7 linked regions of the Canis lupus familiaris genome follow. The protein of the gene in region 4 interacts with the protein of the main gene of each other region in a biochemical or structural test. Links are inferred from orthologs where the notes say so. Each region holds a gene or a part of one and is shown on either strand. Other genes may lie near its edges. The genes, in order: TXNIP, INSR, PECAM1, PTPN11, SIRPA, FRS2 and CAV1.

Region 1 (4,025 bases), on a different chromosome or scaffold from region 4:
AGTCCAGGAAGAGAGGCAGAAAGAAACATGTTAAGTACAGCTGCTTCTTTTCTTCCACAAGTTCACTGCACATTGTTGTTGAGGATGGAGGGATCCACCTGGAGTGGGGGGAAGAGAAACAAAAGAAACGATTATTTTAGTTTGGGTAAGAACTAAAACAACCACCCAGTTTAGCAGTCCTTCCCATTCAACTTCCTGTAAGAGGCTTAGAGGACAATTTGTAAAATGGCAATGATCACCTCTGTGTAAGTCGGTGGTGGCATGAACTTGAACTCAGGAGCATACATAAAAATAGGGCTGTCTTGGGAACCATCTGTGTCATCTAGTAGAGGAGTAGTGGGGCTCTCCAATCGGTGATCTTCAGGAATGATATCCATATAGCAAGGAGGAGCTAGAGAAAACATAGGCATAAGAAGTTTGGCCAAGAAATGCCTGACCGTCACAATTTCACAAACCCAAGCAGGTCAAAAAGGAAGAAAAAACATTAGGTCTGGCTCACCTTCTGGGGTATCGGGAATATTGAGATCTATCCAACTCATTTCAGAGCTGGTTCGACTGGCCATGCTCGATGTCCGACTGCTCAGACCTGATCTGCTACCGATTACCAGGGGCAGATCAAGGATGACCTTCTTGGAGCCAGGAACACTAACATAGATCTAGAAAGGAAAAATGACAGTTAGTTAGACTAGAGGTTTGGAGAAATGACTATTTTGACAGATGAACAATTTCTTGGACTCCATTCACTCACCAATAAGGAGTATTCAACTCGAAGGATGTTGCAGCCCAGGATAGAAGGCCTGATCTTTTGCACCCGAAGGCTCTTGCCACGCCACGATGCACAGGTTCCTGAAATGATGTGATTGCCTCTGACAGATGACAACTTCTGTGTCAGCACTTTGGTTTGACCATTGGCAAGGTAAGTGTGGCGTGCTACTATGGCAGCTTTGGGAACCATGATGCGCGAACATGTATTTTCAAAGTCAGCATGGATGGAAATTTCATCACCTAACAATGATAAAGACAAAAACTTATTAGCTGACGCTTAATACAATTAAGGACTTCTACCCCTATAGCCTGCCCTCACTCCCAAACCCACAGTTCCTGTTTTATCAGACTACCTTTTTAATTAAGTTTTTACCTTCACAAAATCCTTTTCTGTCAATTCGGGCAGAGACAGACACTTGTCCATCAGGAATAAACATGCAGGAAACTTTCTTCTCCTTTTTAGCAGACACAGGAGCCTGTGTTAAATAGGGGTAAAAAGACATTTTGAGACTTTCTAGAGATCCTTCTCTTTTTTCTTTCTACTCCTTACCTAGAATAGGCAACTTTCCCTCCCACCTTGGTAATCCATTTAGGACTGGATCCCCTGAGGTACATCAGTCTAATGCCTAAGACACTTGACTTACGACTTACCATCCCCGAAACCCAAGAAAACATAATTTTTAAATGAACCTCACCATTAAATCAGGAGTGTTGACATCCACTAAATCCATCACTTCAAAGAATTTCTTTGTCTCTTGAGTTGGCTGGCTGGGGCGATCAAGAAAAGCCTTCACCCAGTAGTCTACACACCCATATTTTCCTTTGAAAGATGTTCCCAAAGGCCTGTGTCAAGAAAAAAGAAGCAATCTAAAACTGTTCTCCAAGAACAGGTGATCAAAGGTGGCGAATTTTAGAGATAAGAAAGTCCAAAGATGCATTTAGTAGACACCTACCCCTGAGGAAGCTCAAAGCCGAACTTGTACTCGTATTTGTTTCCAGGTCTCATGATCACCATCTCATTCTCACCTGAGAAGAAAGAAGAAAGAATAGCCCATCAGGTTTCTTGTTTCACTTCAAATGCATCTGTGTGATAAGGAATTCCTGGGCAGCATGCAAGTCTATTGCAGGTCCCCTATTTTCACCCCCTTCTGTTCTTGAGAGATCCTGATGCATTTCGTTGGGCAAAAAGTTTCAAAGCCTTGCAATGATGAAAGGCTCAACCAGGGCAGTGAAGCTACTACCCTCTCAAACCGGAAACGAGCGAAGAATATGCAACTTATGCACACAGAAAACCTTTAAATAGTTAAGGCAGCATACCTCAGGATCACCTTCAGAACAGAACACTGTAAGAAACTGTACAAATCACCCCCCCCCTTTTTTTAGGAGTCTGCAAGTTAAAACTAAAAAAGGAAACAACATACAAGTCAAGCTACTCAACCTTAGCAGCTTGAAATATTCAGCATAAGCTGCAAGCATTCGTTTCAACTCTATTCTCAAATCAGCTTTCACCCTCCCGACAAACAACGGGGCCACTCACCTGTTGGCTGGTCTTCCAGGAGAAGCGTGTCTTCGAAGCGCAGGTATTCAGAGGTCTGTTTGCACTGTTGGGATCCCTGCATCCACAGGACTTTGGCCACTCCGCAAGCCAGGATCCTGACAGCTTTAACTCGAGTCACTTCGCACACCTCCACGACCACCCGGCCGGCCACTTTCTCCCCGCTGCCATACACCTTTTCAGGGTCGTTAAAGACCACCTCAAAAGACTTGATTTTCTTGAACATCACCATGATTGGCTGGGCTGCCTTGACAGTTATAAACGGGGGGGAGAGAAAAAACAAAACTCCAAATCCAAAAATGCTCTGCAAAAAAATTATTTCACTCTTCAACTCTCCGCTAAGATTTCAAAAAGATTTTGGAAAAAAATGTAAGCTGTGGGTGATGCCGAAGGATCCCCGGGGGAAAAAAAAAAAAAATCAGCTTTCTGTTCTTTTCTCCGACAGCTGGAGGAGCGCCCCGACTCTAGGAGAGCCCGAACGGCCCACCCCGCCAGAGGAGACGGAAGGAGAGTTGCGGGGAGCAGCCGGAAACTGCTTTATATAGTCGCCCGGGCTCGCCCGGCCACGCGAGCGCTAGCCCTGAGGCTCGTGCTGCCCTCGTGCACAGCCCTCCCATTGGCTGCCCGCCCCTTGTTTACCAGGAGCCCAACCAATCAGCGAGGCCGCAGCGGCGCGTGGACACGGTGTGCTCCTGGCGGGGAAAATGGTTGTTGTGCACGGCAGCCTCGCCGGGAGGAGGGAGCGGAGGGGCTGCGGGGCCGCCTCCCTCCGCCCGAGGACGCCCAGGGGAAGCCCGGAGGGAGCGGGCCCTCGCGGACCCTAGCATTTATCACGGGGGGTGGCCGTCGGGGGGCGGGTGCAGATGCTTCTGGGGTGGGAGCAGCGTTTGAAGCGAAAAGAAAATGTGCTTATGTGGGAATTTCGTGCCTAACCTCAGCCAGTGCAATAAATTTAGAGGCGACCGTTTATTTCCGGCTCACAAGTCGCAAGTCCGGTGAAAAATAATCCCTTAACTCCAAGAATACTTCAGAATTGGGGCAGAGGCCAGGGAGCTTTGGTGTGACTGTTGAGGAAGAGCCCCTTTGTCTTTCTCTTGCCCCCGGGTCTCTATCCAAACCCCTAAATACCGTGACAGAAAGGGGAACTTGTCACAAATTGTAAAGCTCTTCTCCGTCGTGGGTGGGCAGCGGTCCGGGGCGCTGCTCGGCTTTCGCGCTCCCTTTCCGGCGCCCCCGAACCTGGAAGCCCCTGTACCCTCTCTCTCCGTTCGCTCTGTTCTCCCTGGAACGGAATCAGGGCGTGTTCACATCCTGTTCCTTTCCCCCTCATCTCTTCAGTTTCTACCTGCAAAGTTGGGGGAACACTTTGTTTCTATTCCCCCAGTTACCAATATATTACTCTTTTAGTAAGGTATGTACTTGAAACAAGATGCTTCCCTCGTTTCACTTTCCTCCTCAGCTGCTTGCACTCTTCCTTGTCTTCATCCCCTCTGCAACTCACCAAATCAGAGGCGCATCTCTAAATCCGTAGCCCACACTCCTCACAGCCGAGTTAAAAGTTCTCTTGTTTATATGATCAAAGTGTCAGTAAAGAGATGGCTGCATTCCTGTTTGAAGGAAGAGTTTCCGTATCTTTTAAAAGTGTTTTTCTAAGCCCTTTATTTTAGAAATCCCAGTGAGGAAAGAAGACAAAAGGATCACTGTA
Region 2 (3,560 bases), on a different chromosome or scaffold from region 4:
TTACGGTTTTCTTAAGAACATTTTCCTTTTACTACTACTAGCTGACTTTATTGTAAGAATAAGTCTATAATACATATAATATACAAAATACATATCAATCAACGGTTTATGTGATCGGTGAGGCTTCCAGCCAATGGCAGGTTATTAGTAGCTAAGTTTTAGGGGAATCAAAAGTTATATGTGGATTTTTGACTTGGGCGGTGGTCAGTGCCCCTAACTTCTGCATTGTTCAAGGCTCAATTGTACTCAAAATGAACAAGTTTTGCTTTTTGTATTTTTGTGGGTTTTTTTTTTAAGATTTTATTTATTTATTCACGAGTGACGCAGAGAGAGAGGCAGAGACATAGGCAGAGAGAGAAGCAGGCTCCCTGTGGGGAGCCCGATGCAAGATTCGATCCCAGGACCCCAGGATCATGCCCTGAGCCGAAGGCAGATGCTCAACCACTGAGCCACCAAGGTGCCCCAAAATGACCAAGTTTAATGGAGACAGTTTTAGTTTGAGAAGATGAGAAAGTTCTAGAGATGGATGCTGGTGATGTTTGCACAACACGGCAAATGTACTTCATGCAACTGAGCAGGACACATAAGCATGGTTCAAATGGTCAATTTTACATTAGATATGTTTTGCCACAATTAAAGGTTGGATTTGCTTCGACATGAATGGAACTGGAGGGTATTATGCTGAGTGAAATAAGTCAATCAGAGAAGGACAAACATTATATGGATTCATTCATTTGGGGAATATAAAAAATAGTGAACGGGAATAAAGGGGAAAGGAGAGAAAATGAGTGAAAATATCAGTGAGGGTGACAAAACATGAGAGACTCCTAACTCTGGGAAACGAACAAGGGATGGTGGAAGGGGAGGTGGGCAGGGGGTTGGGGTGACTGGGTGACGGGCACTGGGGGGGGCACTTGGCGGGATGAGCACTGGGTGTTATGCTCTATGTTGGCAAATTGAACTCCAATAAAAAAATAATAATAAAATAAAAATAATAAAAATGAAAATAAATTCTTTAAAGGTTGGAAAAAATAGAAAATGGATACAAAAATAAATTTTTATTTTTTATTATTTAAAAAAAATTTTTTAATTTATTTATGATAGTCACAGAGAGAGAGAGAGAGAGAGAGAGGCGGACACACAGGCAGAGGGAGAAGCAGGCTCCATGCAACGGGAGCCCGATGCGGGATTCGATCCCGGGTCTCCAGGATCGCGCCCTGGGCCAAAGGCAGGCGCCAAACCGCTGCGCCACCCAGGGATCCCCAAAAATAAATTTTTAAAGACCCACTCAGCGAACTGAGCAAATTTTGTTACGGACGTCTTGTTGAGGTGTACGTATATGAGGCAAAATGGAATATTGCCGTAGGAACTTGGCCAAAAGAAACCTGTTTCAATTTCTGGTTTTGACAAATGAGGATGTTACTAACTTCACATGCCATCAGCTTGTGAGATGATAAAAGGGATCCTGTAATCGCTATTCCACAAGGAAGAGAGAGAGAGAGGCACCTCAGAGGGGAACCTCTGAACACACACAACCCACACACGTCTATACCCTTTACTTACGCCTCTTTGTAGAAGAGCATGAACCCCAGGAGGTCTCGGAAGTCAGGGGGCCAGTAGGGCTCCCATTTCAGCAAGATCTTGTCATAAGACGTCCGAATGTAAGAAAATTTAAGTAGTTCGTTTTCACCTAGAAAAGTTTAAAAACATTAATGACATCAGCATTAAAAACTTGTTTCAGGCCCCAACAGGTGACCCAACATTTCCAAGAGCATCTGGGAGAAGGGAGGTGTCAGTCTGCTGCTCCCCGGATGGGTCTCACCCCCACAAGCCTCCTCCTGGTGTTCGGAGGCAAGAACTGGTCACACAAGTTGGTCCCCACGCAGCCAGATGCTCAACACAGGAACAGTGGTCAGCACCGAACTGAGAAGGACAACTGGCCGATAATTATTGGGAAAAGTGATTTTTCAAGAGTGACGACTGTCCTGGCACAATTTTCTCACACACGTGGACTTTCAAGCCTTCCTTGTCAGAATATATGACTCCAGTGCAAACTGAATATGGGCCAAGTGAGTTTAGAGAGCACGCAGGCCTTGGAGAGACGATGCCTTAGAAAGAGTGGGATGCAAGCCCCCCCCAAGCTACACCCCAACCTTGCTCTCTCTCCCTCTCCTGAATTCCCACAAATCTGCGGCAAAGACCCAGCTCTTGGAAGCCTTGGCACCTTTCTGCTCTGATATTTCCTCGAGAGAGAACCTGTCAGAGGAGTGAAGTCAGCTGGTAGCCTCCAGCTATGCAGCAGCTGCAGGACCTGCTGGAGCACTAGAGCCAAGGTCACCTATAAGGAGAAATCCATTCATTCATGCATGCATGCATTCATTCATTCATTCATTCAATGCAGATGTGACATCTTCCAAAATCAGGCACTGTCTCTCTGAAATCACAGAGATATGATAGACCTGTCCTTGGCATTGCAGAAATAGAACTCTGAGCTGCTTTAGCTTGGGGGGGCAATGACACCTGCCACCAACTCCACCCCACCCCACCCCCGCTGAGGGCCAATGCAGTGCTCAAGGAGAAAGACAGCCGCCTTATCTGGTCCTCGGGCTGGAAGGACCAGGACATCACCACTTACAAGACGCCTGGTCCCCGTTGGTCTTCAGGGCAATGTCGTTCCTCTCCTGGCGCCCCTTGGTTCCTGAGACTTCCTCCATCTTGTGGATCTCAGACAAGCAGAGTTTGGGATTATAGTGGAAGAAGAGTTTCCCCTGAGTGATGGTGAGGTTGTGTTTGCTCCAGTCCCATAGCTGCCTTAGGTTCTGGTTGTCCAAGGCATAGAAAGAGTAGTTCCTACGGGAACACACACAAACCTTGTCATTCCCTGGCTTGTCACAGGCAGAGAAAAAATGTAAGAATCCTCCTCTTTCACTTTCCTAGTTTGAGTCCACGTCAAAATAACATCTCAGATGGAACAGTTTCAGTAAAATGCATTATTAAAATTCACTTCCCTGATTCGTTTTGAAGACTTTAAAATGTGGCCACTGGATCGTTTAAAGTCACACGTGTGACTTGTGTCACATTTCTTTCTTTTTTTTTTTAATCTTATGGGGAGGTACTTTGAGACTCTGTAAATATCCTGTTACTCATCAAATTTTCACCATTTAGCATCTATTCATGTCTGAATTGATTAGTACTCACTGATTTTTTTTTTTTTTAAGCAGGCTCTGTGCTCAGTATGGAGTCCAATGCAGGGCTTGAACTCACAACCCTGAGATCAAGACCTGAGCTGAGATCAAGAGTCAGACTCTCAACAGACTGAGCCACCCAGGCACCCCTGACTTGTACCATATCTCTAGTGGATGGTACTGGTCTAGTTCTAGGACACCTATGTAGGGGGTCATAAGCACAATCCAAATGAAAGGTCTAGACCTCAGCAAACAAGGCCATTTTATGGCAGAAAAATCAGCATGAGCTGGTGAACGATTCAAGAAGGTGGTCTAAACAGTTCAGTGCAGTGGCTTCTCAAATGCCACTCATAGTCCCCTCTTCTCTGACTTCCT
Region 3 (3,560 bases), on a different chromosome or scaffold from region 4:
GAACTATTAAGTGCATGGGTTTGGAAGTCGAATGGACCTGAGGATAACTTTTGTTCTACCATCTGGTAATCCTGTAATTTCTGGGTGAGTGACCTAACACCTCAGCCTTAATTTCCACATCCATAAATGCAGAATCATGACACCTATCTCATAGCATTGTTATAAGCATGAAATGAAAATGTATATAATCCAGTCATATAGTGTTCAACAAAAGGGAATTGTTACTATTGTTTTTTCATTTATTAATGCTTTCTCACTCCTGACCCTATCTTAGGACCTATGTCTGGGATCTAGGCTAGTGCTTGGCACATAGGAAAGATAAATGTGGTATAATAATAGACATGTTAACTAACATTCACAGAGTGCTTCTTCCGTATGAGGCTCTTTATTTTTTTTTTTTAAATCTTTATTTATTTATGATAGTCACACACAGAGAGAGAGAGAGGCAGAGACACAGGCAGAGACACAGGCAGAGGGAGAAGCAGGCTCCATGCACCGGAAGCCCGATGTGGGATTTGATCCTGGGTCTCCAGGATCACGCCCTGGGCCAAAGGCAGGCGCCAAACCGCTGCGCCACCCAGAGATCCCCGTATAAGGCTCTTTATAGCAGAGCCACATCACTTAGTCATTGTAACAGTCCTATAGGTGACTGCTGTCATTATCCCCATCTCATAGATCTGTGCCACAGAGAAGCTCAGTAAGTCACCTAGTAATGAGTGACAGTATTGGGATTTGATGCCAGAACTTGCACACTCAACCACCACATTTAACTGCTTACTGGCTCAGCATTGACTTTTTCACTTGAGCACCACAACCCCATTTGAGTACATCATTCAGACAAGCAGGAACAGAACTATCAGCCCTCACTGGCCATTCTGGATTCCAGCATGGTGACTGCTTAAGCCCATCATATTCCCACACCCTCCAGCAGCAGCCCTACCTGTTATGTTGACCACGATGCTGCTGACCTTGGATATCCGGCTGGCTTCCACTTTGCATGTGTAATTGCCATTGTGCTCCGCCATGGCCATCACTGAGTAGGTGGCTTCGTTACCATGCCTCTTGTGTGCTACAATTGCCTTGTCCTTCTGGATTATGATTTCTGGAAATGCTTGGACCAGATGTGTCACTTGAATGGTGCACCTAATGTAGAGCTGATCTCCTTCTGTGATCACTCCTTCGGGGCTGACGTGGAATTTGGGATTAGAGAAGGATTCTACAAGAAGAGGATAAACTGGTTGGACTCAGGCTCAAATCTGGACAAGAGGAAGAGGCACTTATGTCCTCCCCCCTTTTTTTTAATCTTTTTTTTTTTTTTTGCCAATTACTGTCCTTCCTTATTAATTAAAAAAAATTGAAACTTTCCTCTCAAAAACCTTCTCTTAAGTTGCTCTAATGCTCCCTCCCATCTTACTCTTTAATAAGTTTCAGGTGTGAATCACGAAACTGAGATGCCAAAAGGAAAAAGATGGATAGGTTTGATTATACAGAGATGAAACACTTCTGCTTGAAAAGCTTATAAAATAAAGACAAATGACAAATGACAAACTTGGGCAAATATTTGCACAGTACTCAACAAAGAGTTAATGCCTTTAATTTATAAAGGACTCAAACAAATCAATCAGAAACAGTAAAAATGGGCCAAGTGCATACGAGCAGGCAGTTTATGGGGGGAAATGTAGTAATTGGTCAATCAACACAGAGAACATACTCGACCTCAGTAAAAGCCAAAGAAATACAAATCACAAGAACAACAATATATCACTGTGCCTCAATTAGATTGACAAAAAAATAATGAAAGTAGATAATACTCTGAGAGCAAGGTTGTGGGAAAATAAACACTAGCATCACTTTTGATGGACATGTTCAACCAATCTGAGGAGTGCTTTGGTAATACATATCAATATTTAAAATGCACAAACATTTGAATCAACAACTTGACTACCAGAAATCAATGTCATAAATAATAATGAAATAAAATATTTGCAAAAGTACAAATGATAAGTGTAAGTGTGTGTATTCCAGGGTTGTTTTAATAGCAAAAAATTAGGAAAATACCCAAATGTTTACCACTGGAAAAATAATGGTACTAGTAAATTATGGTACATACCTATAATAGGATTCTGAGGTACCACGAAAAAAAAAGACCTACATCTGTATTCCTTGATACAGACAAAAGTTTGTAACATATTGATAAGTTAAAGAAAAGTTATAAAACAGTATGTTGGTCAGGTTGTGTTTTTTGTAAAAACAAAGAAAAACAAACAAAAATTGTGTGCGTGCATGAATGTATAAGCAGAACCAGTCTGGGACCTACAAGTGATTTTCTCTGAGCAGTGGTACTATGAATGATTGTCACTTTATCCTTTACATTGTGCCATATTTTCTGAAAACTGAACCCACACCATGTATTATAATCAGAAAAATATTACATATACATAATTTCATACCTGTATATATGTGTGTGTGTGTATATATATATATACACACACACACACACACACAATGGGCAGAGGTGAAAATAGGTACCAAAAGCAGAAGGGTATTTATGACAAACTTTGAGGCTCCTATAGAAAAGACTTGAGGCTATCTGCACTAGAGTGTGCCTTCCCTTGACTCTTCTCGGCTCACGAGTCCTTGTCCCATTCTGCGGGTTGCCTGTCCTGGAGCTCTCTTGATCCTGGATACACAGTCCCAGGCTTCCCTCTGCTATTGTCTTTCTCACTCCAGAGCACTCCTCAGGCCACCTCATTTATTTCTTATTTGTCCAACATCTTGGTGATAAGGGGTGGGTAGAAGAGGGGAGTCTTTTATCAAATGTGGGAGGCAAAGGCGGAGGACCTGAACTCCCTTCCCTCCCTATCCCCTCCAGACTCCACCTCCTGGTGTCTGACCCAGGCTTGGGGGTTGTTGGCTTAAAGCCATGATTTCCAAGCTGCAGGTTACACAATGCATCATTTCACGGAGTCATGGCCAGTGTTTTAAAAAACTGAAATACAAACGAATAGAAAATGGCAAAATGCCTCATATATTAAGTATTATTTGAGAAACTTTTGTTTGGGAAATTTTACATGTACACACAAACACACATATACACACATATATTTTAAACTATAAACATAGCCTTGAAGTGGTTAAGAACAGTCTTGAAAACAGAAGCCCAGCCAGAAGGCCCCACCCCCCTTCCTGATTTCTGGGGTCTTTCTCCCCATCCCAAACCAGCAAGGCAGAAAGAGTGATAAAAAGGAGAGTAGGACTCTAACCCGTCACGGTGACCAGTTCACTCTTGATGGCTCTAGAGGTCTCCATGTGGGTCCCAGAAATGATCCTGGCTTGGCACTGGAAAAATATAACGTGGTCCTGTTCCTCCACTGTGAACTCCAGCATCATGAAATTCCGGTTGGGAGAAGTTTTTTCTCTTTTTTGCTTGAAACCTTTCGTATCTAGTTTGAGTTTTTCAATTGTGAAATGTATCGGGGGCTTTTCCTCTGGGACAGAACAATTGACCTTCACGACCCCGCCTTCTATTGCCTCTTTCTTGTCCAGTGTCACTATGGGAT
Region 4 (3,560 bases):
CTTTCTACCAGAAGAAGGTACTTCTTAATTCTACCACAAAATCAGGTAGTAAGTTCATACATGGAATTAAATGGAACTACACGTTATAGGATCTCATTTTTAAAAATGAATAAGCCAACCCATCTTTTTTTTTTTTTTTTTTTTTAATTTATGATAGTCACAGAGAGAGAGAGAGAGAGAGAGAGGCAGAGACACAGGCAGAGGGAGAAGCAGGCTCCATGCACCGGGAGCCCGATGGGGGACTCGATCCCGGGTCTCCAGGATAGCGCCCTGGGCCAAAGGCAGGTGCCAAACCGCTGCACCACCCAGGGATCCCCCAACCCATCTTTTTAAACTCTGAAGGCTCAGATCCCAAAGAGCAGTTAATGTGCTAATAAGGACAATATTGGCACATATTGGCACCAAAAAGTACTGGCTGAACGAATGAATGCATGCATTCATTTGAAGCACTCTTCAAATAGGATTATCAGTGACATCCAGTTTCGATATTCTATAAGACTTAAATTATCAAGGAATATGTTCTGCTTTTTTCTACCCCCTCCTGACCCTGGGGTGATAAAGCTTTTTTTTTTAAGATTTTACTGATTTAGGGTAGCTCTCTCTGAATGAATAAATAAGTAAATCTTTAAAAAAAAAAAAAGATTTTACTGATTTATTCATAGAGACACAGAGAGAGAGAGAGAGAGAGAGAGAGAGACAGGCAGAGGGAGAAGCAGGCTCCATGCAGAGAGCCCGACGTGGGACTCGATCCACGGTCTCCAGGATCACACCCTGGGCTGCAGGCGGCGCTAAACCGCTGCGCCACCAGGGCTGCCCGATAAAGCTATCTTTAAAGGAGTTCTTAAATCCAAATTACATCTTGAGATTTAGGGTCAGAGAGACTATATACGGTAATTCAGAAGATCTCAAGTGCTGTAAGGCTGGGGAAGTCCCTACTAAAGTTGCCAAAACAAGGATAAATACCAAAACTTCTGAATGAAATAAAGAGAGCTTTTCCCCTAGCTTTTCCAAACAAGATTATATGCTTCAAGATATTCCTGAATTTGTACCAATAGTGTGCTACATTCTCTTTGTATTTATTAGGAGGTCTTTCTATATGGGCAACTTCATGTTTTATTCCTGGCCCAAATTCAGTATAATTGGAAGACAAATAGAAAATAGCCTATAGCAACCATCTAAATATTTTGTAACAATTACGATAACACCAAATCAGATTTAAAGCACTGAAGGTCAAAACTGGTACCATGTTGATTATTTGACCTTATATTTCTATACGTACACCGTTGCTGAAGATGTTTTTGTACAACGAAAACAATCTAGTGTTTTGAATTTTTTATTAAAGATTGTATTTATTCATTCATGAGAGACATAGAGAGAGAGAGGACAGGCAGAGGGAGAAGCAGGCTCCATGCAGGGAGTCCGACGCAGAACTCGATCCTGGGTCTCCAGGATCATGCCCCAGGCTGAAGGCGGCACTAAACCGCTGAGCTACACAGGCTGCCCCTAGTGTTTTGGATTTTAAGATCTTATTTATTTGAGAGAGAGAATGCAAACGAGCAGAGAGAGGAGCAGAGGGAGACTCTGCACTGAACACGGAGCCCAGTGCCAGGCTCAATCTCACAACCCTGAGATCATGACCTGGGCTGAAATCGAGAGTCAGACACTTAACCGACTGAGCCACCCAGGCACCCCATAATCTAGTCTTTTTATGTGAACTGAGAACCTACTAAGCTGACAGATATCTTACTTTGGCTAATGAAGCTTTTGATAATGTGGCTGCTATTCTGCTAGGCTAGAAGTCTCTCAATTCGCTGGCAGGTGCCATTCTGAGAAGCCGGGTTCTCTGGAAGGCAATACACAGGGTAAAGTAGGCAGATATCACTGCTGTTTAGACATTCCCCTGTCTGCAGCAGAGCAGTTGGGGGTGGGGGGGTGGGGGGGAGATGCCCAGATCCCCAAAGGAGCAGTCTCCTCATTTCCCTCATCTCAGCGTATTCTTAATTAACTCAGCTTTGTGTCTGTTATGAATAGCTTCAAATGGAAATGCTCCAACTCCACATTCTTCTTCATTATGCATGGCTTATTAAAATTGAAATTTCACTGTTTCCAACTCAACCAAGTTTATGGTTCAAACTGCTATGTGCTATGAAGAGTGAAGCATTTGTTTAAGAGATGGGATCAGGATAAAGATGGCCTGGATCTAAACAGGAACAGGCTGGAAACTTCAAGGCTTTCATTTCCAAACTTGCCATGTGAGAATCCTGGGATGTTGTCTGGGAAAATCCTAACCTTTCCACGTGGCAGTTCCCCAATCTGCCAGGCCAGGATGATAGCAGCTATCTCCAAGCTACCCTCTGCTGAAATACCAGAGTTGTGAAGTGGGGAATAGTTTCCAGAGAGGCCCTTCCTGGTTGGGAATGAGTTTCTCATTCCTGAACAGTAACAGCTATCTCTTAGAGGCCCATCCTGCTCAAAAGCAGAGTGTATCAGAGCTGCCCAGAAAAGAAAGTACAAATATGCACACCAGCCCCCTCCAGGATTGGTACCTGCTCTTCCTCAATCCTGCGCTGTAGTGTTTCAATGTAATGCTGGACAGCCATATAAATGAATCGGTACTGTGCTTCTGTCTGGACCATCCCTGACCTCTGAGACCGCACCATCTGAATGGTTTTGGGAACATCAATGTCGCAGTCAACACCTGCAAAGCAAGCACCATGAAGCATTAGGAGAAACTGTGGGGCCAGGATGAAGTGGTTTAATGCACAACTTTTAGCAGACTCAGAGATATAGTAAATGTAGTCTTTTTTTTTTTTTTTTTTAATTTTTTTTTAAATGTAGTCTTTAATGTTCTAACTGAACATGTTTCAAGGGCTACACTGCCTTCTGACTAATACAAATGATTCCAGAAAATGATCTGATTAAGTATCGGAGGTCAGGACTCTCCATCAGCACCACCCCAGAGACCACCACTGCATATTCAACAAAAGACCACAGCAGCGGGACCACGGCTCCTGGGCTTCATTTTATGTCAAAGGCTCAAATAGAATCACTTTTGTTCTCCTATAAACAACTGAAAGTCAAAGTCTTCAGCCCAGATTTTTAAAAATGTTTTAACATTCAAATTCTCTCCTCCAGGCTATTTTCACTAGCACTTTCCTTCCATAAACTAAAAAAGAACTTACAACTTCTTGCCCTCCAGATGACCCACCTTTCTCTCTGATGATGTCAATAAGGATATCAATCACAATGAACGTCCCTGTCCGGCCAATCCCAGCACTGTGGACAGAAGGACAAAGAGCAATGACGCTGGAGCCATTCATAGGGGTTTTGGACTCAAACCCACACTATTAATATGAACAGAAACAATGTCTGCTCTTGAGAGTATTTATAAGACTGCCTGTTTGTATTTGAGAATAGATTAGCTAAGGGCTTTGGGGTTAGTCCAATCCACACGTGGAGCCCAGCTTCTCTAGGACTTCCCAAGGCAAATCCCATACCTCTTTGACCTTCAGTTTCCTCATCTGTGAAATGCAGATAATGGCACATACTTTACAGGGTTG
Region 5 (4,114 bases), on a different chromosome or scaffold from region 4:
GGGGAAGCTGGGGCACAGACATGGCAAGGCATTTCCTCAAGTCTGTACAATCAGAAGAGCAGGCTGGCAGGATTGCAACCCAGGGAGACTGCTTCATGCTCTCAACAGGTGTGCGCTGCCTCCCTGTCTTAGCACAACACCCTGTCCGGACACTGACAGGGAGTCTGGGGTGGGGGCGGGGGTGGAGTCACTTTGCAAAGTTCTGCAGCCTGGAAATCCCAGATTGATATCTTGTTGTTACTCCAGGCCTCGCTGTTTGGCCTTAGGCAAGTCCACTCCCTCTCTGGGCCTCAACTGCTTCTCTGTTGATAGGACTGGCTCTTTCTCCACCTCGCTTCATTCATATTCTCCTACAGGCCTTGTGAAGAAAATTGGTCATAGCTTATTTCCAAGCCCAGATCCCTCCAATGTGCAGAGGGTCCTGGACTCCTCTGATGCCTACCGTGTGGTATCCCTTTGCCAGGTGGCCAGGGCACCCCCAGTCCCTCTCACTGACCTGGGTGCTGTTGGGAACACAGCTTTCCCTCAAGGAAAAAGAGAGAGAGGGAGGTGGGGGTGAGGGGAAGAGAGAGAGAGAGAGAGAGAGAGAGGCGCTTCACCAGGAAGCTCTGTCCTGTCTCCAGGCCCCTTCCCCTGCTCTCCCTACCTCTCATTCCCCCACTCCTGCCCCCCATCATCTTCCGGGAGCCCAGGCCTTCAAGCCCCACCTCTCCCCCACACCCCGGCCTGGGCCTTCTGCACCCCCTGAATTGGCTCTGCCTGCCAGAGAGCCCGCTGCCCCTGGTTGGTCGGGACCCTGCCCCTCTGGCTTCTCGGCGGCCACAGCCCCCCTTGGCGTTCCCTCTCCTCCCTGCTTCCCTGCGCCTCTTTTCCAGGCGGTACTGAAGTCCTTCCTACACACACGCTATTTTTGTACCATCACTCTCTCCTTCCTCTCCCCTTCCCCCTACATTCACTTACTTCCTGCTTTTCCTTCACCTCGGCCCAGCTCTCAAAGAGCCGGGCCCCTGGAGCGCGCGCCTACCCCCCGAGGGGCGTCGGGCTTCGGGCCCAGGGGCAGGGGCAGTCCCCGAGCGGCCGAAGGCGGGCACCCCCGCCGCGTCCCCGGCCCCCTCCCTCCCGCGCCGCCTCCAGCCGCTCGCCGGCCGCCAGCGGGCGGGAAGCGGGGCCCCGCCGCGCGGCCCGGGTCCGGAGGCGAGGGGGAGGCCGGCCGCAACTTCCCCGGTCCACCTTAAGAGGACGATGTAGCCGGCTCGCGGCGCTGACCTTAGGAAAACAAGTTTGCGCAAAGTGGAGCGGGGCCCGGCCTCTGGGCAGCCCCCGCGGCGTTCGCCCTGCGTCCCAGCCCCCGCGGCGGCGCAGGTCCGGGCGGAACGGGGCGCCGCGACCGGGACCGGGACCGCGACCGGGACCGGGACCGGGACCGGGGCCCGGCAAGCGGGAGGGAGCGGCGCGGGCGCCCGAACTGGCACCGCGTTGCGGCCGGCGGCCCGTCCGGTCCCGGGCGCTCGCGGGGCGGCGGGCGGCGGGGATCGGGGCCCGGCGGGAGGGCTGGGGCCGACGCAGCCCCCCGCCCCCCTCCCCTCCCCTCCCCTCCCCGCTCCTCCCCTCCCCGCCCCTCCCCCGGGCGCGCGGCCGGCGGGCGACAGGGGGCCGACGGGCCCGAGCCCCGCAGCCTCCCCGGGCTGGCGGGAAGGAGGGAGGCGGGGAGGGAGGGCGGGCGCGCGGGAGGGGGCCGGGCTGCCGGGAGGGCGGGGGCAGCGGCCGGGACTGCGGGCCGGGAGCGAGCCCCGCCGAGCCGCCGGCGCCGCGAGGAGCCCGGGAGGGGCAGGTGGGCAGCGGCGGGGGCGGCGGGGGCGGCGGCGGGGCTCGGCGGGGCTCGGCGGGGCTCGGCGGCTGCCCCTCGCCCCTGCGCGGTCCTCCTCTCTCCCGCGCTGGGGCCGCGATCCGCGCGCCGCCTCGCGCGCTCCTCTCCCTCCCTCTCCCTCCCTCTCTCCCTCTCTCCCTCTCTCCCTCTCTCTCTCCCCCTCTCCCCACTTCCCCTCTCCCCCTCTCTCGCCTCTCGGCGCCTCTGGCTCTCCGCCTGGCTCCCTCGGGTCTGTTTCTCTCTCCCGCCGCCTCTCCCTGGCCGTCCCCGGCTTGATTCTCGCGCGCTCGGGGTCTCTCCCCCTCTCCGCCTCCCGATCTCCCGGGGTTGGGGGTTCCTCCGAAAACCGCGGCGGCGACGGCGGCTCCTAAGCCGCTCCAGGCGCCTGTTCCGGGGAGGTGGGGGGGAAGCCCGGCCGGGGGGAGGTGGGGGGAGAGGAGGGGGAGCCTTAGTCATTTCCCCGCTCCAGCCTGCGCCCGCCCGAGCGCGCACTCACCGCCGCTCTCCCTCCTCGCTCCGCAGCCGCGGCCCATGGAGCCCGCCGGCCCGGCCCCCGGCCGCCTCGGGCCGCTGCTCTGCCTCCTGTTCGCCGCGTCCTGCGCCTGGACAGGTAAGCACCCCTGCCCCCGCCGTTGCCGTTGCCAGACCGGGGACCCAGGCCTGCCGGAGCGCCTCTGGGAGCCACTGGGCTAATGTCCAGCGGTAGTAAGGGGAGACGTGTCTGTAACCGGGATTACAGAGGCAGAAACTGAGGCCCAGAGACGGCCAGCCACTTGCCCAAGGTCACACAGCCACGGGTAGGACCCACTCTCCGTGGACTTTGATCGCGGGGGCATCGTGCTGGGCACTGGGACATACCCAGATGAATTGGTCCACCCAGTCCCTGCCCAGTCTGATGGGGGAGGCAGGCTGTCAGCAGCTTTCAGAGCCAGGTGCCCCTGGCTTCTCCAGAAGCTCTTTCCCTGGACTTAATGCTCTTGACAGTCCGACTTCGGGGTCTGAGAGAAGGGGGTAGAGGCAAAGGTCCCCCAGGTACTACCTGGAAGGGGACAGAAGCAGCCTATTGCAATGAGGGAAGAGTGAGCTCTCCCTCTGGTGTGCAGAGTAACATAGTGTTGGTGTGTGTATGAGAGACAGAGAGGAAGGGAGGCCGCAGTAACTCTGGGTGAGCTGCTGTGATCAACAGATCCCGATGCGAAAGCGCTGGTGGATTGTCCCTGTGCTTGCCAAAGCCTCTTGCTGGATGGTCTGCTCCTGGCTGTTCTCTAGGCTCCCCCACTTCCTCCTGCCATCCCCCCCCCCCCCCCCCCCCCCCCCCCCCCCCCCCGGCTTCCAGGCAGCTCCCTGCAGTTCAGGTGCTCCATGGGGCTGTTACCTGTGGCTCTGAGCATGTCTTTTTGTTGGCTTACATCAAACACCTGGCTGTCTCCAGCAGGCGGGCTCTGAAGGCTACCGTGTGTGTGTTCGCCAAGGGGTGAGGTCACCATTCAGGAGTCCTGCATCTTAAAGGGGTTTTGCAAAACCATGGGTCTCCTGGGAGGGCACAGGCAGCAGAGTAATGGCTTTAAAGGAGTTAGGGTGGGGAGACGAATGGGGATCTTGTTTTTTGGCTACTTGAAGCTGTGTGGTAGGCAGAGGGGTCTGCATCACCATCCTTGAGGAGGGAGGTAAAGATGAGCTCAGTACCCACCTCCCGTCCACCCCCCCCCCTCGTGCCTTTTGCATTTGCCTAGAGACTGGTAACCATCTGATAGCAGTGAGGAAGGGAGAACTGGCAGAGTGGGTGGAGGGAGAAGTGGGGGTGGACAGCAGCTTCTCTCTGCCCTGCAGTCTCCCCAGAACCCCAGGAATCCGCGTAGGCATCCCCCCCACCCCACCCCACTCCACCCTGGGTCTTCCCGCGGCATGTTCCATGTTCGTTGGGTCCTGGCTGGTAGGAAGGAAGCACTGATACATTTCATGTCTGCCTGGTGAGTGGCATCTCCGATCTGCTCCTTCCTGCCCGAGCCAGCCATTTACACCCTGCAAAAGTCCCAGTTCCTGCCCCCACGTCCTGCCTGGCCTGGCCGGGAAATGCACAAGTGTCTCTCGCAAGTACTTAATTTTCCTGAAACAGGGAACTGGGCCCACATTAATTTCTAAATGTCTATTCTAGACCCTTCTCCAACCAGGACCCTGTGGTTCAGTTTCTGGCAAATGACCGGTGACACTGATTAACAAGTGTTCGGATGGGCAGCCTGCCTTTCC
Region 6 (4,130 bases), on a different chromosome or scaffold from region 4:
ACTCAGGCTACCAGTTTATTGAGAAGTAGCATGATGGAGTGGAAATGCACAGGCTTTGACACCAGGCAGACCTGGATTCAAACTGAGGCTCAGCTACCTAACATACTTAAGCATTGCCCTCATTATTTATTAAGATGCTTTTATGTCGTTGTGAAGCTTAGAAAATGTACGTAGTGTGACCAGCATGAAGCGTGATGCCAAGTGCTCAACAGCTTCAGAGTGCTCTTTTATCTCCACCACTTTCTACTTTTTAGCTGCTTACTCCAGTTAAAAATGAACCCATTTTCTTTTCATAGAACTCCAAACTTTAGGTCATCCCACTCACACAGTATTTACATACTTTTATGTAAATATCTTACATCTCAGGACTTCTAGATTTCAAATTCCTAAAGACCAAATGCTTCATCTTTGTATCCTATAATGCCTAACAGTACTTTTCATAAAACACACAACACCCACCTCTAATTAGAAAAAAAATTTTAATATGCCCAAGCAATACAATTCACCTCTTCATGATTTCTGACACACCTTAGAAAATTATTGCCAAAACATGAATTTTAATGGTTACGGCTGTATATTCATTCCTACGCGGTTGCCTAACAGAGCTTGATGCCTAACATAGCAAAAATTCAGTACTCATTGACTTCAATAATACAATAAAATTTACAATGCAAATATTCAACATCTATCGAATGGACCTGAACCTAATGAAATTTACAGAGCCTAAGGGCACCTGAAATTCCCCAACTGCCTTTTTCTGCTCTTACAATTCTTTAAATATTTCTCCTTCAAAACACCTATCATACTATCAAAAAACCTATCATACTATCCTACTTGCACTATGGATCCATGATCATATCTAACTTGACTCCTTTTGCAGGTTTTCTCAATTCCAATATTCCAACCGTAAGCTCTAAACAATCAAGCATTGCAAATGGCTAAGAATCCACAATGTCTAAATCTAATTTAACTTTTCCCCCCACCAGGGACTGTAAAAATCAACCACCCTTTGACCACAATCAATAAAGGAATAAAAGAAACAAGAATTTCTAAAAAGTCAGCCACCCTTTGCCTGCTGAAAAATCAACAACACTGAAATAACTTTTCTTTTGCACAGGAAGAGAGCTCACTGAACTCACCACTTCAGTCTATTTTTCCCTAATGCAGGATATTACCTCCCCTTTCAGCAGTGGGAGGAGAGAGAATGAGATAAGTACCTAAAAAAACTACAGTATACATCTTAATATAAGCACAAGGTGAGAAGCACAGGAAAAGGGTCACTGGCTTCACAATAAACGGTTTGTGTGCACTTTACATTGCAAAAAATAAAAATAAAAAAAAATGCAATGGTCATCTGCAGCCGGTCACAACCCTCAGTGAATGCATTTGCATTCTCTTGCCATCATCATTGAAAAATCACTATTAAATGCAGAAAAGCCTCGTTGCATACAAACCTCCCCCCTGCCCCCCCCCACACACAGTCTAGTAGCTAAGAACTAAGTCCACTAAAAAACACTACCTACCTACTGCATCGTTTTCTCCTCTAGGAAATTCTCAATTTATCCGAGGTAAAGCTCAAAATGCAGCTTAACACACACACACACACACACACACACACACACCACCTCTATCCACCTGTGACAACCTCTGCATTGCAGCACAACTGGAACCTCTAAGGAGCCACTGAGAAAAAAAAAAGAAAGAAAGAAAACAGTCTTTGAAAGTTAAGGAAAATGACAGGTCCAAAAATACGAAGGTATAGGGCAGCCCGGTGGCTCAGCGGGTGAGCACCTGCCTGCGGCCCAGGGCGTGACCCCGGGGACCAGGGATCCAGCCCCACGTCGGGCTCCCTGCGTGGAGCCTGCTGCTCCCACTGCCTGGGTCTCTGCCTCTGTGTGTGTGTGTGTGTGTCTCATGAATAAATAAATAAAATCTTAAAAAAATAATAAAAAGACATATATGAAGATATACAAACTTCAGGGAAGAGGGGGCACAGTGATTCTCCAACCTCCGGCCGTCAATTCGTGCAATAACCGCAAGCTGAAGCCGTCATCCCACTGTGACTCCGGGGTGGCCACAACAATCAGGAGCGCCGATTAGAGAACAGCTTCCCTTTCCCCCCCCTTTTTTTTCCTTTTTTCTTTCCTTTTTTTTTTTTTTAAGTGTGGGAGAAAATAAGGGAAGTTAAGTACTGATATCCCTCCGGCAAGCTGTCTTCCTCAACGCCTTGCAGCGGCCGCCCGAGCAGGCTCTCCGGGGAGCGGGGAGCGGGGAGCGGGGCAGGCGCGCTGCGGGCCCCGCACACCCGGTGCCCCCGGGGCGCCGTCCCGAGGCGCTCCCCCGGCGCGTGTGGACGAGCAGCGCCGCGGAGGACCCCCGGCTGCCGCCCCCGAGGGCACCAACGTCGGGACCTGCAGCCCGAGGCCGAGCCCAGGGCCGGCGGCGGAGAGCGCGCCCGGGAGGCGGCGCCGAGACCCGGGGCGCCGAGGCCCGGCCCGGCCCCGCTCTCAGGTCCCGGGACCCCGCGCCCCGGCCCCGCCCCGCCCGCCCCCCGCACTCGCCCGGGGCGCCGGCGGCCGACGAGCCCCCTCCCCGGAGCCCGACAGCCCAGCCCCGCCGCGCCCCGCCGCCGTCCCGGGGCGCCCCCCCGGCCACTCACCGCCGGCCCGGGCGCTGGCAGGAGGCGGGAGCGGGTGGGCGGCCGCGGACCCCGGGCTCCAGCCCCTGCTCGGAGCCGACCGAGGCTCGGCAGCTGTGCCTGCAAGGCCTCTCTCCGGCCCGAGCCTGGGAGAAGCACTTCCGGGGAAGCGGGGGAGGGACGAGTCTTGGCACCGGAACTGCTCCCGCGCTGAGCTGCCAGCGCCTCCCGGGCGGGGCGGGGGCGGGGCCTGCGGGGGCGGGGCCTGCGGGGGGCGGGGCGGGGCTTGCGGGCGGGGGCGGGGGCGGGGCCGAGCGCGCTAAGCCCGCCCCCAGGCTGGTCGCTCACCCTTTCCGACGCCGAGGCCCCTCGGAAGCCCCGGGAGGCGCCTGCGCCCCTCACTGCGCTTCGCACTTGGTCCGCTGCAGCCGCCTATTTTCACGCGCCACGAGGCCGAGGATGGGAGCATTTGGGTGCGGGGGTCGGGCGTGCACACTTACACAGCCGGCCTCCAGACTCCTTTCCTTTTTTTTTTTTTTTAAGATTTTATTTATTTATTCATGAGAGACACGCAGAGGGAGAGACGCAGAGACACAGGCAGAGGGAGAAGCAGGCTCCATGCAGGGAGCCCGACGCGGGACTCGATCCTGAAACCCCGGGGTCACGCCCTGAGCCAAGGGCAGAGGCTCAACCGCTGAGCCACCAGGTGTCCCTCTCCAGTCCTTTCCAAATGATGATAGTTAACTCCCTGCTAGATGCTTACTACGTGTCATGCGCTGCAGGTGCCTAACCCCGTGCATCGTCCCCGAACCCTGGGAGGTGCTGGTTATCATCTGTACCTTGCATTATCTGTACCTTCCTCCTCCGATCAAAGATACCAAACCCAATACCACAAACAGTGGCTCTCGATTTTACCTTGTGTTGTGCGTATTGAATCTTTACATCTACTCCTTTTTTTTTTTTTTTTTAAGATTTTATTGATTTAGTCATGAGAGACACAGAGAGGCAGAGACAGAGGCAGAGGGAGCAAGCTCCCTGCAGGGAGCCCAATGTGGGACTCGATCCCAGGTCTCCAGGATCACGCCCTGAGCCAAAGGCAGACGCTCAACCACTGAGCCACCCAGGCGTCCCTTTACATCTACTCCTAACAAGAGTTTGAAGCGCTTTGCTTAAGGGCAGAGGGCAGGTTATGTTCCTATATTTCAGCATCACTTGGAATTTGAACAGAAGCCAAGAGCCGGGAGACTCTGGAATCTTCTTGCCTGCATCCTGCTATGGACTTTTCACTTTTTCACCTGGAGCAAGTTGCTTGACTTCTTGAAGCCCGGGTTTCCTCATTTGCGTGTGGGTGTGCATATATATGCATAGGTGTGTAATCACCTCTAGATTGTCGTAAGAATTCAAGATGACAATGATAAACGCTTGAGCGTACCCCGTACCAAGTAGGACTGGATAGAAGTCAACCTACGTCACCATCAGTGGGAACAATTTC
Region 7 (4,068 bases), on a different chromosome or scaffold from region 4:
TTGTCCAAAGCTACATGAGAAGGAGAAAAAGCAAAAATGTCTTTCCCTCTCTTTAAGGTGACGCTTTTAGTAAATCGTTTTTAGCAATTCTAATTTCAAGTTTATAAGCTACTTTTTTTTTTTATTGCTGCTGCTTTTAAATATTTCATAATCTGGCTAGTAGAAAAACCTACTAATGCTCCAATTTTCCTTTTTCCTCTACCAGCAAGCCAAGAGAGTCAATTCTGACAGTTACATTTTCCTTCCCGTTACAGGTTAAATTGTTTCCCTTTTTGAAATAAATTATTCATAAATGTGCATAGTCTCTGAACTATGGCTCTTCCCAGCCCCAGATAGGAGACTGGGTAGGTGGAAATTGCTCATCTGCCCCATTGGCTGTTCTGGAGTTGTGCAGAACTGGGTCTTCACGCTATAATCTTCCAGGCCAGGATTTTCCTTGGCCCTCCCCACTCCTCAAAGAAAACCCTCTGCCAAGAATGGCTCAAGCCCATGATTTCCCAATCCAGATGGATTCGGACAATAAATTTCCCTGACTTAATTTGCTAAGAGGGTCAAAGTTGAATAATATAATGATAATCAAAAATTGATCACTGACTCAAATCTAAGTTTGGCCAATAGCTCATTCAGATGCCTTATTATTTTTTTTTAAAAAAATCACCAAACACATTCTGAAAATATAAAAAGGAACTCCAGCCTGAGTGTCTCATTAACTCGGGGAAGCCTGACCCAGGCAGTCACTAAAGAAGTGACTTTATATACCTAGCTAGGGGTGTCTATGGGAGAAATCCAGAGGCGCTCATTATTTTTGGTTGTGGAAATTAGCTTGGTCGTGCACGAGTACCACTTTTTCCCCCTCCAGTTAAGATGCTCTCTCTCCATATATGTGATATATAATATATCAATCTGAAGCATTTTTACCCACCTTATTATAGTTAAGAAAATAACTTGAGGTTACCCTGATTTGAGCTGGGACAACCTGCCCACTCGGTATCCCATAGATCATCGAGCCACAAAGAACTTACACAGTGACCTTACTTGCTTTAATTCTAGGTGCAATAGGGCGCCCCCCTTCGCTAGAGTTTAAGCCTGGGAACAGGCAAGAGGGTGCCCCGCAGGGCCAAGCGCCTCACTCGCCCAAGGAGCGCGGGCCAACCTGTCGCGGAGATCTGGAGGTGTGTTGGCCGGGGAGAAGTGGGGTTCTAGGAGGAGGGCAGTCAGCGAGATTCCAGCCGAACTAGCCGGCGGGGTGATGGGGGAGGGCAAGGTGGGGGGACTGCGGGGCCCCGCGTCCTCAAGCGCAGGAGGCAGCGCGCGCGGGCCCAGGTAGCGGAGGATGCTCGGAGCGCCCCGGGGCGGGCGGGGCCGCCTCCCCTACCTTGACCACGTCGTCGTTGAGATGCTTGGGGTCGCGGTTGACCAGGTCGATTTCCTTGGTGTGCGCGTCGTACACCTGCTTCTCGCTCATCTCCTCCGCCATGGCCTTGTTGTTGGGCTTGTAGATGTTGCCCTGCTCCCGGATGGGAACGGTGTAGAGGTGCCCCTGCGCGGGGTGGGGGGGGGACGGCGGGGTGCGGGAGGGGGGGGCGGAGATGGGAAGAAAATGTCAAAAAAGGCAATGCCAGAAAAAGGAAATGTCAAAAAGGAAATGTCAAAAAGGAAAACGAGCGGTGCGGCGGCCCTGGAGGTCGCCCGCCAACTGGCCGCTCGGGCGCCGCCGGCGCTTAAGAGGATGGAGGCGAGGACACCACACCCCTCGGTGCCCGCGGGGAGCCCCGGCCTCCGCCGCCCGCCGCCAGGGGTCAGCGCGCACCCGCGCCGCCCCCGCCCGCGCCCGCCCCGCGCGCCCCCCAGCGACCGCGGGGACCCGTCCCCGGCTGCGGGGCGCCCCTCCCCCACCCTGCTCTCCAGAAGCTCTCCGGCGTCTCCCTCGGGCCCGCTGGAGCCCCCGGGACCCCCCGGAGGGGCCCCCTTTCTGCCCCTTTCTGCCGCACCTCCCCGACACCTGCTGGCTCGCCGCACTCTCCGCGCCCCCCGCCCCCGCGGGGCTCAGCGTCCCGAAAGCGCCCGTGTCGGGAGCAGCGCCCCCCGCCCCCCTGCAGACCGCCCCGAACCGCGACCTCGCACCTGCCCGGCGCCCCCGACCTCCCCGACCTCCCGCAGGTCCCTCCTAGGCCGCCGGCGGGGCGCGGGGCGGAGGGCGAGTTTGGGGAGCGAGATCCCCGCGCGGACGAGGGGTGGCACTGGGAGGGGAGGGCGGGCAGGGACAGGAGGGGAGGGGAGGGGAGGGCAGGTCCCCCCTCTGCAAACACCCCGCCGGGCGCCGCGATGCTGGAAGGGTTCTTGAGGCGGCCCGAGGGCTTCGGGCGGTGCCAGCCGGTCCAGGCGCCTGGCGGAGCGGCGGGGACGGTCCCCCGGATCGCGGGGGGATGGCGGCGCACCCCGCGTCCCCGATCGCAGCCCCCCAGCGCGCAGGGGCTGGGCCGTGCGGGTCCCGACCTAAAGCAGCGCCCCGGGCCCGCCCACGACCCAGGAGCGTGCTCTGGTCCCCATCTCGGGACCCCGGGGCGCCCCCCGCCCCCACTTTCAGCCTCCCTCTGGTTTAGGGCCCGCCGGCCCCCCTTTCCGAAGAGCAGCCTGGACGACATTCCTGCCCCCTCTTCAGCTCCCCGCCCAGGCCCATTCCTCGGAGGTGCCCGCGCCGGGGGAGCGCCCGGCGGCCGACCGCGGGGGGTGGGGTGGGGGTGGGGTGGGGGTGGGGGCGCCCCGGGGGCTCCCCGCGCGCACCCCGCGAGCCTACCTCGGAGTCTACGTATTTGCCCCCAGACATGCTGGCCGGTGGCTGGGTGAAGGCTCCGAGGTTTCCCTGGGCTGTTATTCAAGGGAACCGAGGAAGGAAGATCTTGTATTGTGCAGGGGGGGGGGGGGGGGGGGCGGGGAGGCGCAGGCGGGGGGCGGCGGCTGGGAGGGAGCCTGCTGGCCGCGGGCCCGGGGCTTGCCGCGAGCGCCCGGCCGGGACCTGCGCGCCGGGTCCGGGCACATCCCCGGGGTTCGGCGGCGCGGGGCGGGGAGCGCGCGGGGAGCGCCCCGCGGGGGTGGCCTAGACCTGGGGCGCACGTCCCCGGGGGGCTCGCGGCGGCGTCCTGCGGGGGCGCGGGGTTGGCGCGGGGCGTCGCGCTCCTCCCCGCGCTCCTCCCCGCGCATCTGCCCGCGGAGAAGCCGCCTCCCCGCCCCCATCCCCGCCCGCCCAGCTCTCCCCCACTGTCACCGGGAGGAAAGGGACGAAAAAGGGCGCAGGACTTTTGGGCACGATGCGCCCCCGACGGCGAGCAAGCACACGTGCGCGCGCGGTGCAGGTGGCGACGCGCCGGCTCACACCTGGCGGCCCCGGACAGGACACACAGACACGCGGAACTCCAGTTTCCCCGCCGCTTCTGAAAGCCCCCCCTGCCCTGCCCCCCAACCCTCTGAAGCAAACGAGAATGGCAGGCTTCGCCCATCTTTCTGGAACTTTCTGGAAACTTATGCCCACACGTTGTGCCACATTTCCAAAAGACGTAAAAATATTTACAGTTGTAGGAATATTTAGTGGGAGCTTCAAGTTTGTCATAGAGGACTTTTTCTTTGCACTTTTTCTAATTTTTTTTTCTATTTTTTTTTTTTTTCTAATGCACTTGCCCGTGCGTTAGAGGAGACCCGGTTCTTCTAGGAACCGATCTGAAGTTTAACAAATCGTTAGCAGTTATTTGCAAATGTTTTCTCTATTCCTGAATGTGCGGCTGCTATCTTTTTATAAAGCGTACGCCTAAGGTGAATGGAACAATAAGCAGTAGTTTTACATCTGGGCTATGGAGAAGTCAAGAAGTTCACTGTCTTTTGGCCTGTGGCTCCATATGCAATCAGAAGGAGAACTAGAGGGGCGGCCCGGGTGGCTCAGCGGTTTAGCGCCGCCTTCAGCCCAGGGCCTGACCCTGGAGACCCAGGATCAAGCCCTGCATCAGGCTCCCTGCATGGAGCCTGCTTCTCCCTCTGCCTGTGCCTCTGCTTTTCTCTCTCTCTGTGTCTCTCATT

What was found.
Region 1: the proteins of PTPN11 (region 4) and TXNIP are reported together in a solved structure, tested with the Homo sapiens proteins (2 studies listed by BioGRID, with this or other methods). The link is inferred for Canis lupus familiaris from reciprocal best matches to the Homo sapiens genes PTPN11 and TXNIP.
Region 2: the proteins of PTPN11 (region 4) and INSR form a complex in vitro, tested with the Homo sapiens proteins (2 studies listed by BioGRID). The link is inferred for Canis lupus familiaris from reciprocal best matches to the Homo sapiens genes PTPN11 and INSR.
Region 3: the proteins of PTPN11 (region 4) and PECAM1 form a complex in vitro, tested with the Homo sapiens proteins (4 studies listed by BioGRID, with this or other methods). The link is inferred for Canis lupus familiaris from reciprocal best matches to the Homo sapiens genes PTPN11 and PECAM1.
Region 5: the proteins of PTPN11 (region 4) and SIRPA form a complex in vitro, tested with the Homo sapiens proteins (2 studies listed by BioGRID). The link is inferred for Canis lupus familiaris from reciprocal best matches to the Homo sapiens genes PTPN11 and SIRPA.
Region 6: the proteins of PTPN11 (region 4) and FRS2 interact in a test that uses a peptide from one of them, tested with the Homo sapiens proteins (2 studies listed by BioGRID, with this or other methods). The link is inferred for Canis lupus familiaris from reciprocal best matches to the Homo sapiens genes PTPN11 and FRS2.
Region 7: the proteins of PTPN11 (region 4) and CAV1 form a complex in vitro, tested with the Homo sapiens proteins (2 studies listed by BioGRID). The link is inferred for Canis lupus familiaris from reciprocal best matches to the Homo sapiens genes PTPN11 and CAV1.

What each region holds. Positions count from the first base shown.
Region 1 is NC_049238.1:59,433,966-59,437,990, forward strand, and holds the start of TXNIP (thioredoxin-interacting protein), read right to left. Parts: upstream 2,842-4,025; 5' UTR 2,553-2,841; coding exon 2,303-2,552; intron 1,792-2,302; coding exon 1,719-1,791; intron 1,609-1,718; coding exon 1,461-1,608; intron 1,242-1,460; coding exon 1,139-1,241; intron 1,006-1,138; coding exon 749-1,005; intron 657-748; coding exon 500-656; intron 392-499; coding exon 240-391; intron 99-239; coding exon 63-98; 3' UTR 1-62. UniProt on the Homo sapiens protein: May act as an oxidative stress mediator by inhibiting thioredoxin activity or by limiting its bioavailability.
Region 2 is NC_049241.1:52,466,230-52,469,789, forward strand, and holds part of INSR (insulin receptor), read right to left. Parts: intron 2,851-3,560; coding exon 2,636-2,850; intron 1,691-2,635; coding exon 1,564-1,690; intron 1-1,563. UniProt on the Homo sapiens protein: Receptor tyrosine kinase which mediates the pleiotropic actions of insulin.
Region 3 is NC_049230.1:14,719,052-14,722,611, reverse strand, and holds part of PECAM1 (platelet endothelial cell adhesion molecule), read right to left. Parts: coding exon 3,264-3,560; intron 1,217-3,263; coding exon 941-1,216; intron 1-940. UniProt on the Homo sapiens protein: Cell adhesion molecule which is required for leukocyte transendothelial migration (TEM) under most inflammatory conditions.
Region 4 is NC_049247.1:10,377,017-10,380,576, reverse strand, and holds part of PTPN11 (tyrosine-protein phosphatase non-receptor type 11), read right to left. Parts: intron 3,277-3,560; coding exon 3,209-3,276; intron 2,699-3,208; coding exon 2,547-2,698; intron 1-2,546. UniProt on the Homo sapiens protein: Acts downstream of various receptor and cytoplasmic protein tyrosine kinases to participate in the signal transduction from the cell surface to the nucleus. Positively regulates MAPK signal transduction pathway. Dephosphorylates GAB1, ARHGAP35 and EGFR.
Region 5 is NC_049245.1:19,586,175-19,590,288, reverse strand, and holds the start of SIRPA (tyrosine-protein phosphatase non-receptor type substrate 1), read left to right. Parts: upstream 1-1,307; 5' UTR 1,308-1,362; intron 1,363-1,793; exon of another isoform or gene 1,794-1,831; intron 1,832-2,389; 5' UTR 2,390-2,398; coding exon 2,399-2,477; intron 2,478-4,114. UniProt on the Homo sapiens protein: Immunoglobulin-like cell surface receptor for CD47. Acts as docking protein and induces translocation of PTPN6, PTPN11 and other binding partners from the cytosol to the plasma membrane.
Region 6 is NC_049231.1:11,804,730-11,808,859, reverse strand, and holds the start of FRS2 (fibroblast growth factor receptor substrate 2), read right to left. Parts: upstream 2,809-4,130; 5' UTR 2,660-2,808; intron 1-2,659. UniProt on the Homo sapiens protein: Adapter protein that links activated FGR and NGF receptors to downstream signaling pathways.
Region 7 is NC_049235.1:55,589,287-55,593,354, reverse strand, and holds the start of CAV1 (caveolin-1), read right to left. Parts: upstream 2,828-4,068; coding exon 2,798-2,827; intron 1,541-2,797; coding exon 1,376-1,540; intron 1-1,375. UniProt on the Homo sapiens protein: May act as a scaffolding protein within caveolar membranes. Forms a stable heterooligomeric complex with CAV2 that targets to lipid rafts and drives caveolae formation. Mediates the recruitment of CAVIN proteins (CAVIN1/2/3/4) to the caveolae.